Linked DNA regions of Nothobranchius furzeri. The protein of the gene in region 1 binds, or shares a complex with, the protein of each later gene. Links are inferred from orthologs where the notes say so. Each region holds a gene or a part of one and is shown on either strand. Other genes may lie near its edges. The genes, in order: espl1 and pttg1.

Region 1 (4,265 bases):
TAATCAAATAAAACGTTGTTTTCACACACACACACACACACACACACACACACACACACACACACACACACACACACACACACACACACACACACACGATGCATAACATTGTCATTAAATGGAAGAAGATAGGCGTGGCCGACGTGTTGGCTGAAGAAGAACAGAACCGGAGATAAAACAAGTTCTGGTTCGGAGCAAGAGTTTATAAAGAGGTTAGCGAGATCCAGCTTTTATTTTGGTAACCAACTTCCGCTTATTGGTAAGCAAATTTGCATATTAGCAAAATGTTTAAGTACCAGCTAAATATTTATTTTCCACGATGTTATTTAGCTCCACACTATATTTTATATTTTTGGGTCAGACTTAAATATTTACTTCCCAAATACTGATTTTGCAAAGTATATGTTTTGCTCTAAAATAAATATTTAGCTGGGATCTAAATATTTTTTTCAGAAAATAAATATTTAATTTACAAATCAAATATTTAATTTACAAATTAATTATTTAGTTCCAAAATAAATATTTAATTAGGAAATTAAATATTTAATTAGTGAATTCAATATTTATTTTACAAACTAAATATTTAGCTTAGACCTAAATATTTGGTTTGCAAAATAAATATTTAACTATAAATTAAATATTTAGTTTGCTAACTAAATATTTATTTGGAAACTTTAACATTTATAAATGTATGAATAACATGGTGAAAATATGACTTTGAAAAAGTGAACTCCCAATTTTTTTTCTTATAATATGCTAAATAACCAAAAATATTGCTGTTAGATTATGACTGTTTGACTTTACAAATGGCACCCCATAAGTAACTATGCTGGGAGAAGAGATTCTGTGGTGATGTCACACTTGCTAGAGTGTAGTTGTAATACAAAATTTTACAAGCTAATAAACCTTAACCCCCAGAGACCCAAATTTAGAAAACAACTGCAAAATCTTTTTTAACCTTTCACATGTTGTTACAGGAGGCCAGATAAACGGGCCTATTTACACATTTTAACAGCCAATAGTGTTGCAGAACTGAACAATAGGACCTATTGGCAATGTAAATGTGGTTTTAAAAAGAAAAAAAATGGGGAAGGTTTATTTTTGTAGACTTAAATCTGATGTTGTAATATTACAACCGTGGGTCTCTGGGGGTTAAAGTGCATAACAGACATAGCCAAAACACACATATTTGCCTTTCATTTAAAGTAGAACATATGTGCGATCATGCAGGGCATAAGCCCGCTTTGTTCTGGGGACCAGACCGGAAGCAGACCAACGCAGGATTCTTAAAAACTCCGACACCCATAATCCTTTGCGTCTCCTTGGAACCTGAATGGCTCAGGTCTGATTGGTTACTTTTCATTCAAAAACAGCGCGCGCGTTGCATTCGGGTAATAGTGCACGGATTTATCTTTAATGTTTGGCAGTACTTGGCTTTAAAGGAGTTAGTATGAACAGCAAGTGTCTTGTTTTCATGTTGTAGGGTGAGTAACCTAACGGTTCATAAGAATTCCAGCTGATGGCTTTAGCAAGTTTAACTGTTAGCCTAAAGCAGCGCATTTGGTCGGCGTTCCGCTAAGATTAGCCTCCCATTTAACCTGCTCTACTTTTTCTACAGTGTCTGCTACATACGTCAACATGAAGTGTTTGAAAGTGGACGAATACATCAAGCGGACCGCTTCTGTTAAAGAGACGGAGCTTTTATACCAGGAATTGGAGGTTAGCTTGTTTTTAGCAACACTACTCTAGTCCTTTTTAAAAATGCGTACCAGCCCAAGGGCCAGTACTTTGTTTGGCATTCATGGAATTTAAAAACTGTTTACATCTACGTGTATTTTCTTGCATTAGGACGTGAATATGTCTGTTTTACGTTTCTCAGACGCATATCCTGAGTAAACCTGGACTCCAGGGACGCACGCTGTGTGACAGGGTTATCAGAGCCTGTAACCATCACCTTGGAGTTGGATCTTGTCCCCTGGGTCACATCAAGGCCTTAGTGAATCTGGTGGAGCTTTCTCTTCGTGGTTATGATGTTTCTGCAGAGCTCGTGGCTCAGACCAGTCCGTTTTACATGGAAAAGATCATTTTCCATATTGTGAAGAAGCTAAGTTCTCTAGAGGTTCACACTCTTTGTAGCCAAGTGGCAGGGTTGCTTTATAAAAGGCTCTCCACAGCACAGCAGGTATGTATCACCAAACAGTTCTCGCATATGTCAACATCCCTGCTGTGTGGTCTTTGTCAGAGTAACTGTGGTTTGTAATATCTGTAGGCTCAAGATGATTTCCATGTTCTTGTGCGAAGCTGCTTCTCTGTTCTGTGGACTGGACTGTCTGCTTCCAAAGACAAAAAAATACTCAATCCACAGGACAAACTTCATTGCCAGTTTCAAGCTTTGAGCTTCCTGTTGTTGGACACAGAAAAGGCAGTTCCCACCTCTAAAGCTCTGATGTACACATATGATGCCATCACCGAGTTTGAAGATGGATGTGGGACAGTGACACCAGATGATGCTTCTTTTCTCCTCCAGGAAGTGCAGACACTTTTTAACACATGTTTTTCAAGTGTGCAGAATTGTGAACAGGGTACTTTCAGGCAGCCTATGGAAGCATCAAGTTTTTATGTGTTTTCTGAGATGGCGCTGCTCGCTGTGAAGGCCCTCTGTAAGGCAAGCCACCACGGTCTAGCCTCCACCCTCTTGGATGAAACTGAGAAGATGATTTTCGACCGTGTTGGCTCAAAGTGCATGCCTCTGGTGTTGGCCACATGGGGAATAGAGATTCATTCAGCGTTGACGGCCGGTAAAGAGTGCAGCCGAGTCTTGATGGAGTGTGCCAGGGTTTTGAGGTCTCTCTCAGCTGACCTGGGTAAAGGGGAGGGTCAGGCAGCTCTTGAAGGTGGTAATCTAGTGATATGGGCTGTTGAAAGTGGACACAGTAAAGGATTAAGTGGACCAGAACTTCTGGCGCTGTTTTCATTCCTTGAGGAGTATCAAGAATGGATAATGAAAATGCAAAAAAAGGTTAGTGGGACACTTTGGACAGTGAAACGTTTTTATCTAAAAAATAATAATAAAACCTCGCATGTATATATATTTTTTCTTCCCAGAGTTTGATGTGCCAGGCTGAGAGCAGCAGGCTGCAGCAGGTCCTTTGTGTCAGTATTTACCAAGGATTCCTATTTGCTTATGAGAGCATGCTTGCATCACAGGTGAGAACACATTTACACTTTCATGATGATGGTAAGTTAAGCATGGCCCCGGTGCAGCATAATGTTGAATTTTAGACTTGGATTTTAGTAATGATGCTGATTGTTTCTGGGTCCTAGCTGGAGGACAGGGACACGCTGGACAGAGTCCTCCTCTACTGCCAGTCCACGGCTGGGCTACTGATGACAGAACTTCACAAGGCGCCCAATGAAAACCTTTTGAACAAAACCGGTGACTGAAATGAATCCTAACATAAATGTTTCTTCATCATTACTGAATGCAGGTATTTATTTATTGTACACACTGTTGTGCCTCGTAGTGACTGCTGTGAGCAACGTGGCTTGTGGTCTTTACAACCGGCGTCTGTATGAGCAGGCCTTCTCTCTGGTGGAAATCCTTTGCAGAAGTTTATGCAAGAATCATCCTGTCTCACTTACTGCTGATAGAGTAAGTCGATCCAACTGATACTTATCCTGATCGAAATGTTGTTTTCTAATTAGTTCCTGCAGCTGAAGGTGTTTTGTTTCTGTTAGGTTGGTTTAAAACTGGTGTTTCTGAGCTTTTTGATGGTTTGTAGCTAATATTATTTATATCGTGACCACCCAGCTGAGTCGACCATTCATGCTGGCCGTGCAAACCTCGCGACGAGCCGAAGCGCTGGATCGAGCCCTGAAGTGGGTGATCCTGTGGCTGAAAGCCCTTGGAGACCAGGTGATGGCTCACATGGCTGAACCGGTCTCTCTGTGGGTTAAAACAAAAAGTGATGCTGCCCGTAATGATGATGAGGACATAAGACTCAGGTACAGAGAAGAACTATTTAGTGGCTTTGTTTTTGTTTGTGTTTTGCTTAAAATCCGTCGTTTCCTGAAACAGGACATTACGGGATGGTTTTGGTCCTGACGTTCCTGAAGAGAAATTCATGCTTTGCCTTTTGGAAGAAGAGTTGCGTGCGTATAAGGAGTTGGCGAGAGACACGACCCAAGAGCGCTACAACACTTTGTGTGACCTGTTGGACATCTGCCACGCAGAGAGTTCCCACACTCATCTACGGGCTGTCTAC
Region 2 (4,278 bases), on another chromosome or scaffold:
GGCTTCCTTTCCCCACTTAAAAAACAAGCTTGGATAACAAGGAGTGTGTAAAATCCCCTTTCCTCTCCAAAACAAGTCTTGAACTCTTGTCTTTGTTTTGCAAGCAATCAAGACAACGCCTGTGTGAAAGTTAACGGGTTCCTAAATAAAACACGGTAACGGAAATGAGCACCGAGGTTGTGCTGAAACGGGGGCTTTCAGAATGAATGGCCTACCGATCGATCTGTGTGGATCCGTCATTTTTAACGATCCAGCACCTACTAAACTCAATTAAACATTTAAAATCACACAATGTGCCATTTCGCCATGCATTTGTTTCAAATAAACACCACATGAAATCTAAGGGCATTTGCAAATGCAATGCTAAAGCTGTTTCACCGGAAAGGTAAATGCACGAGGTGATGCGCCTTGATTTAACATCATCAGACGAAGAGCATTTTAGATGCATAATTTGTTATCTAAAAACACGATTTATTATAAACAGACTCTAAATTAGCAACGCAATGGTGAATTTCGAATGTGAACACGGGTGTTAGCAAGCTAACCGACTCCAAAATAACCCGTTACACAAATAAGTTGAAACGATTCCCAGCATATCGAAGATGTAATAAATGCATACAATGGATTTTAGAGTCAAACAGACTACTTACGGCTTGCCTTGCTATCTCAGTTGACGCCATGGTGAGTGTTAGTAGCCGGAGGACGAACCCACTGTCGCTCTGACTTCAGCAAAGGAAGCTGCGCCGCTACGCTGAAACCTGGCCTGCTTGAAATGTACCATTTTATCAAAGTATGTCGCATTTCTTATAAAGGTAGTAGCTGAACTTCCAATGACAATACATATGTATCTGTTAAAACCGATGACTTCTATTAACAGAAGCGGCTTCTAAATGATGGCAGAAGACATAAAATAACACATAAAGAAAGTCCCCCATCGAATGCTTTAATGGTTTCGTCTGATATGAATGGTAGTGAGCAGATGTGATGTAACTTGATAAAATAAAGAAGCACACAGACACACATAACATCCTGAAACAAATTAGTTTAGTTTATAGTAGTGGCCGACAATTTTGTAAAGCATGTGTAGCCATGAGCGTAAATAAATCAGGTGTTACGACTCACAATTAATCTTCAATGCTAACAACACTTAGTAGGCGACGCCTATTTTAGTCACGTGCGTGATATTGGCCAATAGGAAGGATGCCGTGAATTTAAAATTGGCTCGCGGTCGTTCGTTCGTACACAGTTTCTTAACCTCAACCGAGTGAGCAGCACGGTCAGGTCGAGTCTACTGAGTTAGAGGTTGTGTTTCGTAGAGGTGAGTTATCAAAGAGAGCAGTTCAAGTTAAATTTATAGTTTATTTTCTTTGAATGGGTCAAGATAATATCCATAAACCCGCGAACGATTAAGACGTTATACAGCGCTAGCATATAAGCTAACATTTGATTGTTTTGTTTTTTTAAATATCTGTTTAGCGGTCAAAAAACCGTTGTTAACGTTTGTATGTCAGTGTTCGGGAAAAGTTTAAAAAATAAACACTTGTCAAAAATTTCTGATAGGTTTGATTGGTACTCAGGTGATCTGTTTTCAGTAAATAAAGGTGACTAACTTGAAATAAAATGTATATTTTGGGATTGGATAAGTGTTCTATAAAATAATTGCTAAAGGCTTCAAACTAGATATTTAAAGTAGTTTAAAACAAATAAGCTTGTATTAAATTAATTTAGGATTTGGCTAAATCTGTTTTGCCTTTTTCCCCCACTGCTGAAAGTTTACAAAGCTCACTTTTAGCTTTGCTGTTTTGAAAAACGTTTTTGCATTTTGGTGCAGAATATAACGTTTGCATGTGTTTGTCAGATAAAAATGGCAAACATCCTTGCAGAGCAAGAAAATGCTGGTCTTCATGTGCCTTCGCTGAAGATGCGACAGCGACTTCAGTCTGCTCCAGGTATTCTGAACTGAATATTTTTCCTATGTTAGCAGGTGATGTTGGATGTGAGTTCACATTTTTTTTATTTTTCTACCAGAGAAACTTCTGAATTCAGAGGCAGCTAAATCTGTTAAAACACCTCTGCCATTTGGTCGTAAAGCTTTTGGAGCTGTGAACAAGGTTTTGACCCCAGCAGTCTCTGCACAGGAGAAGACTCTATTGAAGCCACAGGTTGGGTTCTGGACAGTCTTCAGTTCACGCATAAAAAAATATTTTGACAAAGTATTATTTGCATCTTTTTGTATGAAGTTCAAATCACAGCTAAGATGCCATACTAAACTAAAAGTTCAGGGGTCTAATTTATCAAATATTGCGTAGAATCCTTAATAAAACTGTACTTAAGCTCAGCAAAAAAAATGTACTTGTTGCTTATTCTGTGTGAGCACAAAGTGGTACAAGTGATAATGCTGCTGGAATTAATAATTTTATCATTCTCAGCAGCAGCACTGCAGGTGCTCTCCATGTCCAGAATGTGCGTAAGCAAGGTCCTTGGTCAACTTAAAGTTGTGCACATTTTTCCGCTAAGTTCTTTCATAAATCCCAAAGTTTGCGTGGAAAGTTGCTTACGCAGTTTTCCGACCCCGTTTTGTGCGTAAGCAAGCTTGATAAATGAGGCCCCAGATCTTTGCCATCCATTTCTCTTTACCTTGTTGTACCAAGTCAATGTTTTGTTTTGTTTTTGTTTCAATAGGAAAACAAAGTCGAGCCTGCTCCTCAAACCAAAATTGAGGAATATCCAGAAATTGAGAAGTTTATCCCGTATGACCCCTTGGGTAAATTGAGTTTGACTTTTATTCAGTTGCCTAAAACAATACATTTCAGTGAAGTCGATACTTATTTCCCCCTCAATTGCAAACTATTATACACACAGTGTATAATAGTTTGCAAAAGATGGCTGATGTAGAAATATCAAGCTTCTAGGTACGAGTTCCCCGCATTGTTGCCACTAAATAAAAATTCCTGCTCAAAATAATTGCTCAGATTTTTAGTTTACAAACTCAATAGATTTCCACCAGCATCTGACTTAAGCTGGTCATTATTAAAGTTGAGCATCTATACACTGCAAAAGAGGCTCCAACACACGTGATCTAATTTCCTTCCTATAGAAACTTTAGACAAGTTTAATGTTCTATATTGCTTTGTCTTGTGCTCGGAGGACTGTTTTCTGCATGTTTTAAACAAGGTTCTAATGTTTCCCAGAGTTTGAGAGGTACAGCGTCCCTGAGGACTTGATCCCTCTTAGCTGCTTGGCACTTCCTGGTTTGGCCTGTTTTCCCACAACTCTTTCTAAGCTGTGTGAGGAGGATTTGACAGAGATGGCTCCACTTCCAGACTTGTCACCCATAAAGATGCCAAAATATTCAGGTATGCACTTAATATTTACTCTTAACTGTTTGCATTTATGCTTCATAGTTACTAAGTTGATTTCTAACTCAACTTTCTAAAAGGCAGACCACTGATGATGGCTTAGCCCACCTGATAGAAACTCTTGACTTTAAATGTCTGAATATGACTCTTTAATTCCTGAACTGTTCATCTTCCCTCGTGGCATAATGATGGATAATCTGGCAATTTTGTGAAACTCTTTCAAACAATGATTGTCGAGCTAAGCATTAACAGACAACATACTCTAATGGTAACTGTCTTCCTTGAGGGCCAGTATCCAGCATGTTTTAGTTGTTTCCCTGTTCCAACACATGATTTTAATCAGCAGGAGCTTGGTGAGCTGCTGAACAAGTGAATCAACAAAAACATGAGTGGTAGTACTCTGGGACCAGGCTTGCCTACGCCTGCTCTCATTCAACACACTTCAATCACCTGTCATCAAGCTCTGCAGAAGCCTGTTAATCACCTGCTGATTAAAATCAGGCACATTGAAGCAGGGAAACTAGTAAAACGTACCGGCCCACGGGGAAGGGAGTTTGGATCACTGATATGCATCCCAGTGTTTCCCTTACATAGGCGTAGCCGTGGCGGCCCACCATGGCTAAAATCCCACTGCCACGCCTACAAGGTCCCAAGTTTTATTTCTTTATTTATTTTTTGCGCCGTTTCCCGAAGAAGCAGCAGGAACTACTGTGTTGTTGCTTGTGATCACAGCTGGCAGGCAGCAAGGAGGAGGCAGGGTGGTTACAGCTAGGGATGAGTGTACGGATAAAGCATTTTTGACTAATACGAGTGTAAAACTCGTAAATATCTGTAATCGTGCTGAAGGAAAATCCTCATTGGGTAACTGTCTTTACGCTCTGTGGTTGGCCAGACACATAGAGCGCCCGCCCCTCCCTAC

Evidence for each region.
Region 2: the proteins of espl1 (region 1) and pttg1 are in contact, whole or in part, in a cryo-EM structure (PDB 7NJ1), measured with the Homo sapiens proteins. The link is inferred for Nothobranchius furzeri from reciprocal best matches to the Homo sapiens genes ESPL1 and PTTG1. Residues at the interface, in NP_036423.4 of Homo sapiens: His402, Thr405, Val406, Tyr409, Ser461, Asn462, Tyr465, Tyr468, Arg505, Arg508, Glu512, Glu544, Thr547, Phe548, Arg551, Gln590, Lys593, Ala594, Val595, Arg596, Thr599, Gly600, Arg603, Gln634, Cys637, Tyr638, Trp683, Ile686, Glu690, Ile697; in NP_001269311.1 of Homo sapiens: Tyr111, Pro112, Glu113, Ile114, Glu115, Lys116, Phe117, Phe118, Pro119, Phe120, Asn121, Pro122, Leu123, Phe125, Glu126, Ser127, Phe128, Asp129, Leu130, Pro131, Glu132, Glu133, His134, Gln135, Ile136, Ala137, His138, Leu139, Pro140, Leu141.

Annotation. Positions count from the first base shown.
Region 1 is NC_091743.1:50,208,250-50,212,514, reverse strand, and holds the start of espl1 (separin), read left to right. Parts: upstream 1-1,371; 5' UTR 1,372-1,484; intron 1,485-1,618; 5' UTR 1,619-1,638; coding exon 1,639-1,719; intron 1,720-1,879; coding exon 1,880-2,182; intron 2,183-2,269; coding exon 2,270-3,019; intron 3,020-3,105; coding exon 3,106-3,207; intron 3,208-3,324; coding exon 3,325-3,436; intron 3,437-3,524; coding exon 3,525-3,652; intron 3,653-3,811; coding exon 3,812-4,005; intron 4,006-4,078; coding exon 4,079-4,265. UniProt on the Homo sapiens protein: Caspase-like protease, which plays a central role in the chromosome segregation by cleaving the SCC1/RAD21 subunit of the cohesin complex at the onset of anaphase. During most of the cell cycle, it is inactivated by different mechanisms.
Region 2 is NC_091741.1:85,725,759-85,730,036, reverse strand, and holds the start of pttg1 (securin), read left to right. Parts: upstream 1-1,219; 5' UTR 1,220-1,318; intron 1,319-1,858; 5' UTR 1,859-1,864; coding exon 1,865-1,949; intron 1,950-2,028; coding exon 2,029-2,162; intron 2,163-2,682; coding exon 2,683-2,764; intron 2,765-3,191; coding exon 3,192-3,356; intron 3,357-4,278. Other genes in the region: septin6 (septin-6), read right to left, coding at 651-680. UniProt on the Homo sapiens protein: Regulatory protein, which plays a central role in chromosome stability, in the p53/TP53 pathway, and DNA repair. Probably acts by blocking the action of key proteins.